Linked DNA regions of Arabidopsis thaliana. The protein of the gene in region 4 interacts with the protein of the main gene of each other region in a pairwise test. Each region holds a gene or a part of one and is shown on either strand. Other genes may lie near its edges.

The links.
Region 1: the proteins of NDPK2 (region 4) and AT4G28830 interact in a two-hybrid assay, tested with the Arabidopsis thaliana proteins (one large-scale study listed by BioGRID).
Region 2: the proteins of NDPK2 (region 4) and NRPB6B interact in a two-hybrid assay, tested with the Arabidopsis thaliana proteins (one large-scale study listed by BioGRID).
Region 3: the proteins of NDPK2 (region 4) and EXO70H1 interact in a two-hybrid assay, tested with the Arabidopsis thaliana proteins (one large-scale study listed by BioGRID).

Annotation. Positions count from the first base shown.
Region 1 is NC_003075.7:14,230,436-14,234,837, reverse strand, and holds AT4G28830 (S-adenosyl-L-methionine-dependent methyltransferases superfamily protein), read right to left. Parts: upstream 2,399-4,402; 5' UTR 2,349-2,398; coding exon 2,289-2,348; intron 2,205-2,288; coding exon 2,148-2,204; intron 1,933-2,147; coding exon 1,835-1,932; intron 1,759-1,834; coding exon 1,689-1,758; intron 1,600-1,688; coding exon 1,551-1,599; intron 1,467-1,550; coding exon 1,378-1,466; intron 1,289-1,377; coding exon 1,241-1,288; intron 1,168-1,240; coding exon 1,108-1,167; intron 1,017-1,107; coding exon 921-1,016; 3' UTR 504-920; downstream 1-503. Other genes in the region: AT4G28820 (HIT-type Zinc finger family protein), read left to right, coding at 2,551-2,633, 2,748-2,779, 3,080-3,130, 3,237-3,320, 3,455-3,547, 3,659-3,747, 3,837-3,887, 3,985-4,019.
Region 2 is NC_003071.7:1,618,245-1,622,393, forward strand, and holds NRPB6B (RNA polymerase Rpb6), read right to left. Parts: upstream 2,136-4,149; 5' UTR 2,003-2,135; coding exon 1,965-2,002; intron 1,678-1,964; coding exon 1,644-1,677; intron 1,564-1,643; coding exon 1,391-1,563; intron 1,305-1,390; coding exon 1,253-1,304; intron 1,153-1,252; coding exon 1,085-1,152; intron 994-1,084; coding exon 924-993; 3' UTR 547-923; downstream 1-546. Other genes in the region: AT2G04650 (ADP-glucose pyrophosphorylase family protein), read right to left, coding at 3,742-3,842, 3,914-4,025, 4,115-4,149. UniProt on the Arabidopsis thaliana protein: DNA-dependent RNA polymerase catalyzes the transcription of DNA into RNA using the four ribonucleoside triphosphates as substrates. Component of RNA polymerase II which synthesizes mRNA precursors and many functional non-coding RNAs.
Region 3 is NC_003074.8:20,439,964-20,444,281, forward strand, and holds EXO70H1 (exocyst subunit exo70 family protein H1), read right to left. Parts: upstream 2,688-4,318; 5' UTR 2,603-2,687; coding exon 692-2,602; 3' UTR 528-691; downstream 1-527. Other genes in the region: AT3G55140 (Pectin lyase-like superfamily protein), read left to right, coding at 26-262.
Region 4 is NC_003076.8:25,371,386-25,375,687, forward strand, and holds NDPK2 (nucleoside diphosphate kinase 2), read right to left. Parts: upstream 2,520-4,302; 5' UTR 2,454-2,519; coding exon 2,214-2,453; intron 2,034-2,213; coding exon 1,977-2,033; intron 1,832-1,976; coding exon 1,745-1,831; intron 1,525-1,744; coding exon 1,444-1,524; intron 1,350-1,443; coding exon 1,237-1,349; intron 1,148-1,236; coding exon 1,098-1,147; intron 805-1,097; coding exon 737-804; 3' UTR 519-736; downstream 1-518. Other genes in the region: AT5G63300 (Ribosomal protein S21 family protein), read left to right, coding at 1-390; NPX1 (nuclear protein X1), read right to left, coding at 3,028-4,269. UniProt on the Arabidopsis thaliana protein: Major role in the synthesis of nucleoside triphosphates other than ATP. The ATP gamma phosphate is transferred to the NDP beta phosphate via a ping-pong mechanism, using a phosphorylated active-site intermediate. May activate MPK3 and MPK6.

The DNA.
Region 1 (4,402 bases), on a different chromosome or scaffold from region 4:
GTATATTATCAAAATTACAATTATTGACATTTGGTGATTCATTTCCAACAAAATCTACTATTTAGCTAATACGAGAAATCCATCTAGTAATATTAGTTGACTCATAAGCAATATAATTGCCAAAGTAAGAGTTTCGGTTAGTTTTTGTTTAACGTAATATTAAAATGAGTAATGTAGTCGATAAGGGTACGAAATGTTCGTCCCACGTGGGAGAAGATATAATTAAATCATTGAGAATCGTTTGATGCTGAATCTTTATTAGCTCTAAGCATATAAATTAAGGAGTATTTGTTCGATGAAGCTTCCTTCCTTCACCATCAACCATACAAATTAAATAATAGTGTAGTAATACCTTTCCAACTTTTTCTTCTCTCTTTTCTGAATGATTACTTGTAACAATCTTTTAGATAGTACAGATTTGATCCATTGGCTGATTTCTTTTTATTTATCTATTCAGTTGGCATCCATGCTGTTCCTTCTATTATTTCATATTTTTCTGTGGTTTTTTCCACAATGTATGTAATACCAAATTTTAGGACTTGTTCATATTTTCTTATTTAGAAATTTTGTGACAACTCTTTTCAGTGTCTTGAAAGTACAACATGGTTGGATCATCTGAGAGATCACTAAAGTCTCACTGCTTAGGATTGTATGATACAATTTTGTATTAAGCTCAACTGTCTCAGGTGAAACAAAGACTTAAACCGGTTGGTGCTGGTCTCAGACTTGAAATGTCTATACGCATCTGCAATATGTTTTGATAGAGCACAGTGTAGCCAAGCTGCCACCTATTTTCAATGAAAAGCTGTAAATTTGTCTATGAAGAAGAGGTTGATTTGTAAAACTTGAGTTCATACCATGAATCCTTCCATACATAATCAATCTTATCTCAAAGCTAAACATTACATGATCGTGGCGGTCTAGTTCTGTCTAGGCTCAAAACGCCAGAGATCAACGGCAATATCAACTTCTTTTCGCTTGTGGAACTTGTAGAGTTTTGGCAAGTCATATCGGAGCTGCAAGGGGAACAATATGAATAAGTTAGAATGTTTAGACACATTCACATCAGACTTTTGATATAATAATTTTCAAATCTTTTAGCCCAACCTCACATATAACTTCAGCACTTTTCGCATTGAAATCACGCAAAGCCGCCCTTTTAATGTGCTGCAAGAATGTTAAGGTTGTTACTAACAAAATACATAGTAAGTAGATATTGTAAGGAAGGCGCTTTGCTTACTTCTCTGGTAGATGTCTTATGCAAGGAATAAACTGCCTTTGAGGCGACCTGCGTAGCCAAACATCGAATGTAAACATGTAACCGAGTGATACGAAATTAGAAAACAGTAAAAAGAGATATTCTTTTCTGTTGTTTACCTTCATTGCCGCAGAGAGAAACTCCATGTCAGCTCCTTTCTTCCGTGTACCAAATGGAGGGTTCATTACAACCGTATCCACAATCAGGCCTAAAACAATTCATGGAGCCACAAAAATGTTACCGGTAGAATCTTCTTTTCGTTGAATGAACTGAAATGAAAGGAGGATTGTACCTTTTAACTCTAGCTTTGTGATGTCACACTGAACGAAATCTATCTCGACCTACAAAACAAACCAATTATAGCAATGGTATTTGCTATACAACCAAAAGAAAACTCATTTACATAAAAGACGAAGAATTTCAAAAAAACCTCAAGTTCCTCTGCATTTAGTGTTGCTGTTTCAAGAGATTCAGGGTCGATATCGAATCCAATCACAGACCTGTTCTGAAGCAATAAAGAGATTAGATAACCACAGAGATTGAATAGAAGAGTGAGGCAAAGATGATTATACTCACGCAGCATCTAGAAGAGCAGCAGCAGCACTTAAAGTACCACAGCCACAACCAAAATCCGCAACGACCTTATCAGTTATATCTCCATATGAATTCTCTGCCTAAACAAAGGATACACACTTAAGGCTTCTTCTAAGACAGCAGGAACAAAACCAAGCATCACAAAACAACTCAGACTACATAAATCTAACATCCACACACTGAGAAAATCACTAGCCTGTTATATATTCTAGATTAGACAGTGAAGACCCACTTCACAGAAAGCATGATATTAACAAAAGTAATAAACTTCAGAGCAGAGGAAGACGGATTTTACAGTGAAAAGCATACGAGAAGCAATGTGAGGACCAGTTGGGTATTGCTCGAATTCCACCTGCCACACAAAAAATCAAAATCAAAAGAGTTTGTTCGACGAAATCAATCTTTAGTATTCAAAGTTATAATATTTTTCACATACTTTAGGATTGGAGAACTGTTCAAGATCACCCAACAAGCCTTCTAATTGCTTCAGCTTCATCTTCTCCGGCGCTTCTCAACAGTGAATTCACAAAAAGCAGAGTCAAAAAGCCTCCGTGACAAATCAATGACATAAATAAAAAAGCTTTCAGGCCCATTGGGCTTTCTTTCTTTCTGAAGAGGCAAGTGTAAACCCCATTGCCTCCTTGATTGAGGTTTTTCTCTTCCCCTGAATCGCTGTGCTCGTTGTGAGAGAGTGAGAGATGTGTCCTCGAGCTACTCAAACATGCGAAATCTGCGAGAAGGTTGTATCCAAATACAAGTGTCCTTCTTGTCTTGTTCCTTAGTAAGTGTTCTTCGTCTCTCTCTCTTTTTACATAGGTTTTCTTTCGTTTCATCATTGGCTTGTTAAGTCATCTTTGTCATTGTCTCTTACTTGGTTTCTGTGGCTTGCCTGCAGCTGCTCATTGGGTTGTTTCAAGATACACAAAGGTAAGTTCTTTTGATCTCTTTATGAAATTCGTAAAAAGTTAGGATTTGGAATTAGTTCCTTGATTGATGTTAGTTTCTGAGTTAGACCTTAAAGTTTTGGACTTTGTAATTGAATTCGTTGAGTGTCTCTAGTTTTATTACTTAGCTTAAACCTCGTGACCTTTGAATTGCTAATTTCATTGCAGATTGTATAACCAATAGAGGAAGAGTATTTTATGTATCTGTTTTGTTTTCAATGAAGATTTTACTTTAGGTTTATGTTGATGTGGTTCTAAGTATGTAATCTTATCAATAATGCAGAGACTCCATGTGCTAAACCGTCTGATCCTTCTTCAACCGAAGAAAAGCCAGGTTAGTGCATTTTGTGGTTTCATTGTTTCTTGATTAGTTTTCCTTTGCTCACTTGTGTAAGTTGTTCAGTGTGAACCATGGTTTGAGTCATGCTCTGGTTTTGTAGCAGCTTCTCCAGCAAAGGAAGTCCCGGTGAAAAGACCTGAGGAAGCTAATGATGTTGTAGAGAAGACACAGCAAAAGGCTAGTGGTACGGTTCTTCCAACTTAAGTCTTATTTACATTCATGGGCTGATTTTCAAAACCTCTGATGTAGCCAGAGATGCTAGGCATTAGACTAGAATTGTTTGAACTTGGGTTTGAGTCATAATCTGTTTTTTTGTAGCTGCATCTCCAGCGAAGGAAATTCCGGTAGCAAGACCGATAATTGTAGAGGAAGAAAAGTATATTTTAGAAAAGACACAGTTCGAGGCTATCGGTAATGTTCTTCCAACTACATTATATATAGACGAGCAAGTTATTGGATAACAAACGTCTGAACGAATCTATAGCTTCGTAGGCCATTTCTAAATCTGGGAACTTTTTACAGCTTCTTCTAGTGAAATCCGCGAAGCTCTAAAGGATGAACCTCTTCAGAAACTCATCTACAGTATTGATAGTTCTTCCAACCCTTTACAGGTAAAGCTCATCTACATCGTCGTCAGTAATTCAATATTTTTGTTGTTGTTATCGATCTCCTTTGACGAAACTATTTGTGGATGTATCAGGAACTCGATGAAGCCATGGGAATAGAAGCATTCCGCGAATTCACAGACAAGGTACAGTCTTAAAAGCTTTTATTTCAAGAACTTGCAACAATCCATGACCAGCAAAAGGGCCTCCACTAAGTTTCCCACTTTGTTTTTTTTTTTCCAGATTTTATCAAACATTTCGAAGAGTAATGACGAGCAGTGAGTGTAGTCGCTTCAAAACTCCAGTAGTATTCTTGCTTAGTGTATTCGTTACATAGTTTGAGAAAAGTTTCAGAGAAATGTTTACTGGCTATAAAAACGAGCCGTTTTGGTTTACACAAACCATCTCTTCTCTGACCCCCAAGATTCCAGCTTCTGACATTTGCGGAAACAGAGAAAAAAACAAAAAAAAAACTGGACCATCTTAACCTTAAACAGACCAAAAATTTCACATCTGGACCATCTTCAAAATTGTGATTTGCAGATAGAACTGAACCTTTTTTTTTAATTCCACAACATCAACCTACAACAAAACAATAGAGATGTGTCTGTCAAACCTTGACCATTATCTCATCAGTCATCACTCAAGAAAAGCTTGTAAC
Region 2 (4,149 bases), on a different chromosome or scaffold from region 4:
TATGTAGATGCATTATTTTGTACGTTGTGTATCCCAAGGTCTATTTAACAGTTATTTGCTTTGAGTTTAATGCATTATTCTTCTCTAATCCCTGCATTTTTTTTTTTTTTTTTTTTGGAAAATGGTAAATTAGATTCAAAAAAGATAACGTCGTTACAATTAGTGTATCATATGTTCTATATGAAATAGATTGAAATCAGAAATTAGAATGAACAATTTAGTGATTAACTTCAACTTTGAAGCCAGCGTTGGAAACGCATTTGCTTGTCGATCCATTGTATTAGAGTGGCTGCAGATTTTGGAGATTCATCATGACGTCTTCGATTCCTCTCATGCCAGATGGTGTAAACGGTGGTTTGAAAGATGTATTTCATCAAGAAACATGCTACACTATCCTTGCGTTGGGCCGAGACTATGGTGAGTAGTTGAGTCCAGTCACTTGTATAGTGTTGCTGAAACAATCCTCGAGCAAGCGCTTCACATAGTTTTTAACATTACTATTTCTCAACTTCTTTAAACAACATGCATAATTCTTCTCTAATCTTGCTTTTTGATTTTTAGCATCACTCATTTATGCATCAATCGATCTGACTCTGTGAGACGACAAAAGCTGGGAAGTGTGAGAGAAAAGGTTTATCAATTGAGTTGTACTTACTCAATACTCAAACTATTATAGATGTTTTCTTCTTTTGGTTTCACGAAGGATTTTCTTTCTTTGTATATGTACATGCAGGCTTGTCGAAACCCATGTCCAAAAACAACTTGGGACAAAAAATTTGTTGTTCATGCATTTTTGTTGGAGTCCCTGACTCTTGTAGTGTTGGAGAATAGGACAAATGAAGAAGTTCTACATGCGACTATATCGTAAGTTCATAATCCATACAAGAGCAGAAAGCTTTGCAAAACACATAGGCCAGATTTTATCAATCACCACCGACTTGACGTTTCCACGAGTCTTCGACGATCAGTTCATCAACTCCCCATTCCTCGTAACTGATTCAGAGTCATAAGTAAGTCGCAAGAAAAGAAGATATCAAATTTGAAAGAAGAGCTAAAAGTATTGATATAACTAATGCAATCTCACCTCATATCAGGTAGATAACGTCTAATGGTAAATGGAATCTTCCTTTGCCTAAGCTCTTTCATCGCAATCTTAAGCCAAATCATACAATAAACAACACAAATGTTCATATACATATCAACATTTACTGACAAATCATGAAAAACACAACAAGAAGGAAGAAGGCAACACCTCAAGTGGATCAGTCTCACCCTCCAACTCAACCATAACAGGAGCATTCATGCTGTATCAGCCAACAACAGTACATAGAATCAAACTTTCCGAGCCAACTAAACGGTTAATCAACAAAGATTGTTCTCAGTAGCTGACCTAATCTGCAAAGCACGAGTGCCGAGGATACGTGCACGTTCATACTTAGTCATAAACTTAGAGGTTTTACGTGGGCGTTGCACAGGTTCTGTTTCAACCTTATCTTCTGTTTCCAAAGGGTCAACATTAACATCATCGTTCTCCTTGATATCAGCATCTTCCTCTACTCCTTCCTACTCACACCAACACATTCTAATCAGCCTAGTAATAATAATAAGCAATGTCAATCTCTCTTCTACAAATAATAACTTACTTCGATCTCAGGCTCTGCTGGCTCATCTTCATATCTGCAATTGAAAATCACCACATAACATCAACAATTTGAAATCCGATGTATAAGATTCAAACGAAATTAGGGTTTTCTATCTAAACAATATGAAATTATAATCAATGCTACGATGCCAGAACAATAAGCAAATTTTCAAAAAAGAATCTCGTTGATAGACTCTCAAACTAGACAATAATTGATCCAATTGTTCTCAATCGTTTACGATTCGTCGGGAAGAAGAAGATAGAATCAACTGAAATCGAGTACAAATGATACTAACATAGGAAACAGAGAGGGAGAGATTACCCCAAGTCATCGACTTCATTGTAATCGTCGTCAGCCATTAAAGTCGATTTGAGAAATCGCTCTCCTTGCTCTCTCGATAAAACCCTAACGATCGATGCAACTTAACCGAATGACGGAGAATGCGTAAAGAAGACTCTCTATGAAGTTCGGTTTTTAATTGCCGGTTTTCTTAATGAACCGTCTATTCAGACCGGTTTTAATTTCAAACCCCATTTAAGCCCACATGTATTTTTTTTTTTTCCCCTAACATAGCCCTGGGCATGTGGTATTCGGGTCAGGGTCGGGTCGGATTTTTCGGGTTCGAATTTTTGGGTTTAGAAATTTTGGATCCGTATGGTTATATCAACAATTTCGGGTCGGGTTCGGTTCGGCTTCACTTCGGGTCCGATAATTCAGGTATTAGTTAAAAAAACCATAAGTAACCAAAACTATTTCGGGTTTGAGTACTACTTACCCAAACTTTGTCCAAATATACCCAAACATACATAAAAATATCCATAAAACCCGAAAGATCTGAAATTATAACAAGTTTTTCCTTAAGCCAATAATATAAAACAAGAAGTAAACCTTGTTTTAAGCTTGTTCCATAACTCAAATCATTAAACAAGTCACATTATTAGTGTATATATATCCTCATATGTATATATAGGGCTGGGCAAAAAACGGGACCCGATATCGAACCTGATACCCGAACCGAAAAATCGGGTTGGGGTGGGTTAGGGTTTTAAGAAATTACTTCATTGGGTAAAGTTTTAGTAAACCCGTGGGTATCAGGTCGGTCCGGGGTTTATCCGTTACCCAAACAGGATACCCGAACATAGATTTAATATCAAAAATATTAATTATATTTAATCTTAATATAATGTAATAATCTAAAATTATAATTATAAATCTAAATATATCAATTACTTTTAGATCTAAATACCCAACTATTTAAAAATTATTTGTTATGTTTGTCAAAATTTAGTATAATATATCTAAATCTAATTAAATTATTAAAATTTGTTAATATTTAAGGTTTTTTTTTTGTTGGGTACCCGCTATCTACACATAAAATACCCGTTTTCATTTGTTTGGCTATTCTTAGGGCCTGAAATTCTTTACCCAAGCCGACCCGAACCCGAATGTACCCGAACTAGACCGAAATCGAAAATTTTCATTTTACCCTATTGGGTAGTAAATCCATTACCCATTTAACCCGAACCCGAACGGGTTTTACCCGAATCCGAACGGGTTACCCATATGCGCAGCCCTATGTATATATATGTTCGGGTAATAAAAAGTACCCACGGGTATCGGGTTCAGTTCGGGTAATTTCCGGTACCCACGGTTATTTGAAAACAGAACCCGATCAAGTAATTAGCCGGAACCGAAGTAGAACGGGTTTGGTTATTTCGAGTCAAGTTCAGTTCGGTTCTTCGGGTTCCGGTATTATGTCCGGGCCTACCCCCACAAACGAAGTCAAGATAAACAATTTTTCTAGTGAGCAATTTGCACAAAAGAAAGGAGCCTAAGGAGGTATTGAACACTAGTGATTACACAATCAAGAAGCAAAACTTCTTTGATTCCTTGTTATCTTAGATCTTTTAAAACTCTTTCTTCTAAAATCTTTTTAGTATCTAAACACAAAGTACAGTGAGAGTTTACAAATCTTCCATAGTTTCACTTACTCAAAATCTAATCCTGTGAACTCAATTCATGTAATACACAATTCTGTAAAAGTTTCTCTGTTTCAATTAAAAAGAAAAAAAATCCAAACGATAATCATTGTGATAAATCACAAGATGATATCATCTTGAACACTAACATTAAGAGTCTTATTCTGGAGAACAATGCTTCCTATGACTGCTACTTCATCTTCCACAGTTACAGCCTCACCTGCAGAAACAAATTAATCAGAAAAAATATAACGAAAAATTTGTTGAACAAAAAGAAAACAATGAAGTTACCAAGAATGGTAATCCCAAGCCTGTCATTGTAATCTCCACTAGCTTGAACTCTTGACCATCTACCTATAGAAGATTTCCATCCGATAATTGAGTTTATAACAACAGCATTCTCCTGCATTTAACAAGAGTAGAGAACATTAAACAACGAATCTTTTGGATTCATAACAAGAAGAACATTCTAAAACACTGATTCCAAATTACCTTGATTTCAACATCGTCTAAGATTATGCAGCTAA
Region 3 (4,318 bases), on a different chromosome or scaffold from region 4:
TCATCTTGTGTGAGTTTGTTTGTAGGCTGCTGACAAGGAAGAAGCGAGAACTGGGTTAGTACGATCTGAAAATGACTTGTTCTTGAATGGAGCTCAACCTTCCTTGATGACAGGAGCCAGTGAAGAATGTGTATTCCATCCAAGTGAACACTACCCAACATGGACTGTGGAGCCACCATCAGAAACTCTCAAGCAAATCATGCAAATTTGTACCGGTTGGCAATCTTTGTCCCGTCCTTCTGATCATGGAGTTCCTAAGTAATAGTTGCGATTCAAATGTTTTCTTGCATATCATATTTCCTTCTTTTTCTAGTTATTGAAGGAGTGAATAATGCTTTTGTTCTTCAGCACATTATGTTTACAGTATGCTGTGTGTGATTTTTTATGCCTTTTTCTTCTTTGTGATTTGTAATTGGCTTCTTGAATGTATATCACTGAATCGAATTCTTTATCAGATTTATATCAGCTTCGGTTATTAGAGACTACTCGTTTTATTCTTAAAGCGTATCGCAAGTTTGTTTTTTCTTAGATAATGAAGAACTCGTCATAAATTATGTAAAGAAAATCTCATTTTTTTTTTTTTGTTCTCATTTTCTGTTGCACACACAATGCAAACACACGTATCTACATTTTTTTCACTTCACATCATGTAAAAAATGGAATATTTAGCCAAAACTATGGATCAAGTCTCTCAGCCTGAAACACACCCAAGTGATTTCCAGGATGAAGAGGAAGAAGATGAAGAAAAAGAAGAGGATGCATGAATTGGTGTACCGTGGAAAAGATCAGAGATGTAATTCTCCAAATTATCTGGCTTGAATCTCACCAAGATCTCAATGTTTCTCTCCTGGCCGAGCATTGGTAAGTACTTCCTGTAAAACTCTCTGTATTCTGGTACAAGTTTCTTTGCTATTGAAACCTTTAGTTCGTCCCTAAGTTTCGCATTTGGTACAACTCGTGATGATTGTTTCATATATGCTTCCTCAAATGCCGTGTGAAATCTTCTGAAATATATTTTAGCTTCCTCTGGTGATAGGTCTGTGGGTTCTTCTGGTAAAGACATGAAAACATTGGACCATGCTGCTATCTCATAATTCCCAGCATAAGCGCAGAGTTTATCTTCGTGCTTATTGAGCCAATCATCTCCAAGGAGATTCCTTAGGGGAGTTGAACCAACCGTTTCAATGATGATCTGAAGGTTGTTTGCAAGGAAAAGGTAAGACAAAGAAACATCCTTGTAATGCTCTGCTTTGGTGTCTAGTTTGCATAGCAAAACCAGGATTAGCCAAGCAAAATGGACAGAGAGTGCGTGATTGTGTTGTTCATCTTCCGAAATTGGAGCTCTGACATAGGATTCCAGCAGGCGAGTGTTTCTCGGGAGTGGATGGTCTGCTAGGATTTCCGACAAGACTCCGCTGTACTTAGAAAGGGAAGAGATGAAGTTCATTGTTGATCGTGTCAGTTTATGAATCCCTCCTCCAGGTGTTAGAGCTTTCGTCGTATCTTTCTGAATGATTGATTCAAAATCCGTGAGAGCACTGTGGATTGAGACCTTTAGTTTTTGCAGCGATGTGAGCGCCTGAGATTTCACACCAGCTACTGCATCAAAGTGGAATATCATCTCTATGTCTTGCCAGAGATCAGAGATTGCAGCCTGCAGATCCATTAGCGGGAAGATCCTCTCGTGCGATTTCTTCTCCTTGGCAACAAATTCAGGGAACTTGAAAAGGTTAGTGGCTGCTTCGTTTGCAATCTCGTAGAAGCATGACTCCCTTGTTGAATTGGAAGCAGAAAAGACATGATCACAAAGAAGTTTCTCTCCACGGAAGAGCGTGGCAATGCCAATCTTTGCAGCTTTTATCCAGTTCTTGATCATATGCTCGAGCGTGACCCAGTCCGTTCTGTGAAATCTGGAGCCTTTGTAGATTTCAATCCCGAGCAAGCTCAGCCCTTCATCTACAATAGATTTTCTGACCCGCTTATAAATCTTTACGCACTCCTTACCATATCCGCAACTTATCATACTCTCTGCTATCGCCTTAAGGTCAGACATCACCATAGCTGAAGCTTTCTCAACCTGAGTGATCGATTCGCCAGCTTTCCTCATCTCATTGTCACTTTCATCGTCGTCGTCAGATCCCATAACATCTTCAAATTCAGAATTGCTGGAGATTGAGGATTGACCGGAAACTGATTCAGGATCAAGCTTGTCTCTGTTTGAAGATAATATCTGGAAGAACTCTTTTTCGAGCCTTGCCATGGCGATCTGCATCAGGGTCTGAGCTAGAGCAAGCTTTGGAGATTGAGAGTCTTGAGAGACAAGAAAGTGCATCGCTCTGCGCAAATCACGGACACATCTGATGAACTCTTTAGCCTCCTTCCTGCTATGGTTGAACAGAGAGACAATCTTGGTGAAGGAAGGCGTGTTCGGGTCCCATTTTCTGATGACGGAGTCCGCTGTCTCCACGGTTTCCTCCATCATAGCCTGAGTAAAGTTCTGGTTTAGAGGAGAAGCCGGGAAAGAAGTGAATGAAGAAGGCGAAGAAGGATGATATTTAGGAGATGACGAAGAGAAGAAAGAAAATTTCGCCATTTTCGCCATTGAAGAAGAAGAAGCTCTCTATTCTCTTCTTTCTGAATTGAAAGCGAAGCCTTTTAAAATGGTGTTACTTGGCTTTTACTCTTTCTATTTTAATTAGAAAGATGGTTTTTAACAATTATATAGAGAGCGAGATTGGTCTTGACTTTGAAAATGAAATCGATGACGATGTGCTTACCTGTGATTATAGACCCAGACCACAAAGAACCATTGACTTCGATGTATAATATAAGCCTTATATACTTAAAAGATAACTAGAGTACAAATTTTATATACATATGGGCGACAAAGTTTTTGCTATCCACGTCTAGAACTAGAATTATATGACTATTTCATTCTGTCAACTTATAATTTTATATAACAGTTAAATTCATCAATTTCATTTCATTTGACTTTTTATTGCATCATTCGCATTATTGATCACTAATTATACTTCTTGTTCGAATTTCGTATTGGAAGTTTTTTGACCAAAGAAAAAAAAGAAGACTAATAGAGTTTCACTAGAAAAGTCCGAAATTTATATATTTAGCGTTCTCTTATATAAACGCGTTTCTACATTTCAATTCTTGTGTGTCTGTCAACGTCTGCATTTCAGTTAATAAGTTATAGTTATCACAGTAATTAACGTTTTGAATCAATACTATGATACAATAAGTTGTTAACGCTGTCCTTGCAAACTAACAGCTATACGTTTATTGTAATAGTTAAGAGAAAAGTGTTACAAAATATTTAAGTTGATTTTACAGCCTAATGTTATATTAGCACTGTTGATGTGTCATAATCTGATAGTATATGTTTGTGCTTATAGAGGATAGAAAAACAAATCACAAATTATGTATTATATAAAACTAATATTCTTTCGTCTGACCAAAAAGATGATCATAAAAGATACGTACTATACTTCATGATCTTGTCTAGAAGAAAATAAAACCTATATTCCAAGTTTTCCCATACATTAGATATCATATACACAGACACAAGACATTCGCATGTTATGTATGTATGGTTTTGCAAGAAAAAGTCAAATATACGCACTCATAAATCATGATATAAAGATATACGAACCGGAGGTATTGGCAATTTCCAGGCGTTACAGATTCTTAAAAGACCAAAATGGAGATTCGCTTACCAAAGTCAACTACATTTACATATACATTTCAACTAATTTGGCTTCAACGTCGTATATACGTGAGTTGTCTAAATCATTATAAGAGCATATAAGCTAGTCAACGTTTTGTTTCGACGACTCTCTTTCTTTAAACAATGGCTAGTGTTACTTCACGTATTCGGTTACATTGCTAACGAACCTTAAAGAATTTAGTTATTGTAGCTGTCTTTTTTCCTTAAAAGTGGAATCTTCTTCAATCAACAAAGCAATGACTATTGATCAATGCCATCATTTGATTACAACTCACAGTTTTTGTTTTGACAATTATCTTGTTATATACATATGAGAGAAAATGAACTATAGTAGTGTTTAGTTCGTTTCAGATTGAGATTGATTATGTTTATGTTATTTGTTTTTTTCCCAAACTTTACTAAGGAAGATTGTAAGCTTGGGGGAGCCCTAACGAATCAGAAATGAATGATATCGTAAGTGCGAAAACAATTTGAAGACTGGACTGTGAAGCGGTCAACTCTCAGGCGTAGATCATCGGAGTAAAGACAATGCCAATGCAAAAGTCAAAAGTTTATAAAGTATCTTTGATAACCCCAAAA
Region 4 (4,302 bases):
GGCGAATCGGAGGAGCAGCTGGTTAACGATTTCAAGAGGTCGTGTTTCAGAGCGGGTGTGTTGCAGGAATCTCGAAGACGACGCTTCTTCGAGAGCTCTCTGGAGAAGAAGACGCGGAAGACCAAAGAAGCTGCGAAGAAGTATCGGAAAAGGTCAGATTTTTTTTTCACTTTTTCTTCTTTCTTTCGAAAAACACTTGGAGAAGTTGAGTCAATAGATTTTGATTTTACAGGAGACCAAACCCTAAACCAAAACCACTATCAACTTCAGAGATCCGCAAGCACAACAGAAATGCATCCAGAGAAGACGAACAAGACGATCACTGGGAACTTCCTCCTGAGGACATTGAGATTCCATATACCAACCGGTCTTAGAAGTAAACCGGAATGATATTCCGGTACACTGATCTGAGCAATCTTAATCACGCAGCATCTGCGTTTTGTAAAGCCACTCTTTTGTATGTTCTTTTAGCTTGAGATTAGAAAATTTTCATTGCTCGGTGTAGAGTGAAGATGAATGATTTTGGAGGTGTCTGTAACGTAGAACCAAATGCAGATGAATCTGTAACTAGTTTTGATTACATGACAAGTGATCACAGATATGAGAAGAATCAAGCCATAGATTGGCAGTTATATTATATTGCCGCCCAAAATCAGGAACAAAACACCAAAGCTCATCATCGGTAACAAGAAAACAAGTAAGGACACCATTATAATTGACTCTGTCTTCTCAAGGATCACTCCCTTAGCCATGTAGCTAGAGCCGAATCCCACTTGCATAGCTCGCCCTCTTTGAACCACAGACCTATGCCACAACCACAAGAGCCAAAATGTCAGCAAATGAAAACTAAAAGTTTAGCATACTAAGGAATGAGAGTGATTGGTCAAACTAAGTAAATGAAGAAGTGATAGTAATGGTTTAAAACAGATATATTGAACCTAACAATTTCAGTAATCAAGTATGATCTAATCTAGTTATGTTATCAAGTTAATTTGAAGCAGTTTGAACCACGTTGATTTGCCCCTAAACTGGACATAGTCAATGTCTCAACAATGAAAGATGGGTGAATGATTTGAACAAAAAACAAGAAATCTCACCAATCTCACGCTTGCCGTTTTCAGGGCTGTCACTACCATGCACAATGTTCCTGCAAATTGCATAATTTAAAAATATCAAACCATGAGAATTATTTTAAGTGCTTACTTCCAACAATTTTAAAGATGATAGAAGTCCAACCTTCCGGTTTGCACAGCAAGATCTCCTCTTATAGTACCAGGTTCAGCTTGAAGCGGATCTGTTTTCCCTATTAGCTTCCTGGCTGAAGCAACAACACCAACACCTTCCCAAGCCTTTACCAGGTTTAAAACATCACATGCAATTAACTCATCTAATTACAACTTGAAAACAAGTAAAAATCAAATTAGAGCATAGTTATACCCATACCATACACACAACTGGACCTGAAGTGATGTACTCAATCAGGTTAGGAAAGAATGATTTAGCACTAAGATCCTTATAATGCTCCTGGCAATTGAGATAAACACACAAGAATATTAATTATGTCAATCGAATATGAAAAAAAAATGAGGCAGCGTCATCTTACGCAAATGTAGCGAATAAGTGAAATATGCAAGTCATGATCAGGCTTCAATTTCTCGATACTTGTCAATGATTTATTAGTTATATCACATTAAGAAGCAATCTAAAGTTATCAAACTACTGATGTAATGAGTGAGTGTCAAACCTCAGCCAATTCTTTTGGGCACTGAAACATCTTGAGCCCAATAAGTTTAAACCCCTTTTTCTCAAAGCGAGAAATGATTTCTCCTACCTAAGAACATCAAATGAATCATACATTCATAATTTAAGCCAAGATAGTGTAATGAAATAACATTCAAAGCTCCATAGAGTTCCAAGATACATAATTTAACCTCAAAATCAGAAGAAGAAAAAAAATGAAAAGCAAAAACGCTTACAAGGCCTCGTTGTATGCCATCAGGTTTCACCATAATGTAAGTCTCCTCAACGTCCTCCTGAAACAATACAGAAAACAACGTAAGAACAATCAAAAGGTCACTAAATTGCATTGAGATTCATCAAATTAGAATATATCCAAACTAATTTGAATCCTAAATTCCTGATTTCGGAGTTTAATCAATGTAAGTACTAAGAAAACAAAGTAATTCGCATAAATGGAGGGGAAGCACACAAACCATAGAAGCTACAAGGTGAGGAAGGAAGATTCCCGATTCGGCGGAGCTGGAAGCGCGAAGACGGCGGCGAGACGCGGAATTGCGAGAGAAAAGACGGAACTGAGGACGAAATGCGGCCAACGCTGTTCTAAAATTAACCCTGGCTGGAGAACAGTGTGGATTGAGACTTGCCGAGTTTCTCTCCGGCGGCGAAGCCACACATAGGGGAGTCCATTTACTAACTACAGTCGCTCCCACCATTTTCTGCGCTTTGTCTTAGCTTCTCTCAGTGTCTTCGCATCATCATCTTATAAGAACAAAGTTAATTGACATAAATACCCTTTATCCAGAAGCGAAGATAATTTGGGTTTAGTTGATCAATCAAAAAGTATCAGTGCTCAGAAGTAATTTAAAAAGTGATCTCGAGTACAAAGAGTGTCTCGTTTAAATGGAGGAAACAGACTCTTTCTCTTTCCCTGTACAGTTTACTCTTCTAAAAGATTAAAAAAAACAAAAGTCTGCACATTTCAACAGTCGCACAATTTGCTGCTTTAATACCAAACCAAACCATCTTTCTTGTAGCAAAATTGTTTTTTTCTTTTTCTTTTTTCGTCGATTTAGAATCATTGTCAACAGAGTCACGTTGAAAAATAGGCAATACAGACTCATCGTCTTGTCTTCTAGATGTATCTGGCTTTGCCTTTCTTTTGCTTGCTTTAGCCATTTCACGCCACATCAAATTTACATTTTGTGCATAGAAGAATCAATGCGTAAACATCCCCAACTTTTTCTTTTCATCTTGTTGCTTTTAACAAGACCCGGAAAAAAGACTTCATCAATCAATTTCTACATCTATATCTTCCTCTCCCTGGTCAACAAGGTCAGTTTTTTGCCCTGCCTTGTCCACAACTTCGGTTTCTACCTTTCCATTGCCATCAACTACAGTTTCGTTTCCTCCCTTGTCCGAAACTTCAGTTCCTTGCACTCCCTCACCATTGTCAACAGCTTCATTTTCTTCTACCCCCTTTTCGACAACTTCGCTTTTTTGCTCTCCCAAGTCGACAACTCCAGTTTCTTGTTCTTCTTTTTCAGTAACTCTACTTTCTTGCTCTGGCACATTCGCCAATTGTTCTTCTCCTTCAATTTTATTGATGGATTTTTCATCTTCTTGGTTCCCATTATCTTGTGTCTTTTGGCTTACCAGTTCTTCGTTTCCACAATCGAGTTGGTTCTCTCCCTCTTCTCTGTGAGGACTAAGTGTTTGTCCTTCACTTTTGTCAAGGGAAAGTTCTTTTCCTACTCCGACAACTTCAGTTTCTTGCTCTCCTGTATCATCATCTCTACTACTTTCTTGCTCTAGCACATTCTCCAATTGTTCTTCTCTCTCGCTTTGATTGATTTTTTCATCTCTTTGGTTCTCATAATCTTGTGCCTTTTCGCTTACCGATTCTTCATTACCGCTAGCACGTGGGTCCTCTCTCTCTTTTCTGTGAGGACTGAGTGTACGCCCTTCACTTCGGTCAAGGGGATGTACTTCTTCCACTCCCATATCAACAACTTCATTTTCTTGCTTTCTCATATCGACAACTTCAGTTTCTTGCTCTTCCTTGTCACCAACTCCACTTTCTTGCTCTGGCATATTCTCCAGTTGTCGTTCTATTTCATTTGGGTTTATGGGTTTTCCATCTTCTTGGTCCCCATTATCATGTGCCTCTTGGCTCACCGGCTCTTCATTTCCGCTAACGAGTTGATCCTCTCCTTCTACTCTGTGAGGACTATGTTCCTGTTTTTCACTTCTGTCAAAGGGATTGTCTTCTACTTTTCTCTGGCTAAAGTGTGGCGGGTCTTCTTCTTCATCCTCATCCTCATCCATTTTCATATACAGACCTAGATGTTCTAATGGATTACTGTTGCTTTCCATCTTGAAACTACCCAAACCCAACATATCCTCACTAAACTTGGGACTCATCACTTCCATGGAAGTCGGTAATTGATCACCTTCTGTACCTGTAGCTCTAAGCATCTGGAGGTCTTCCATAAACCGTATGCCCTCGTTTATCTCCACTGTCTTTTCCATCTGCAACAGACCAGAAAGTCATTTATCATGATT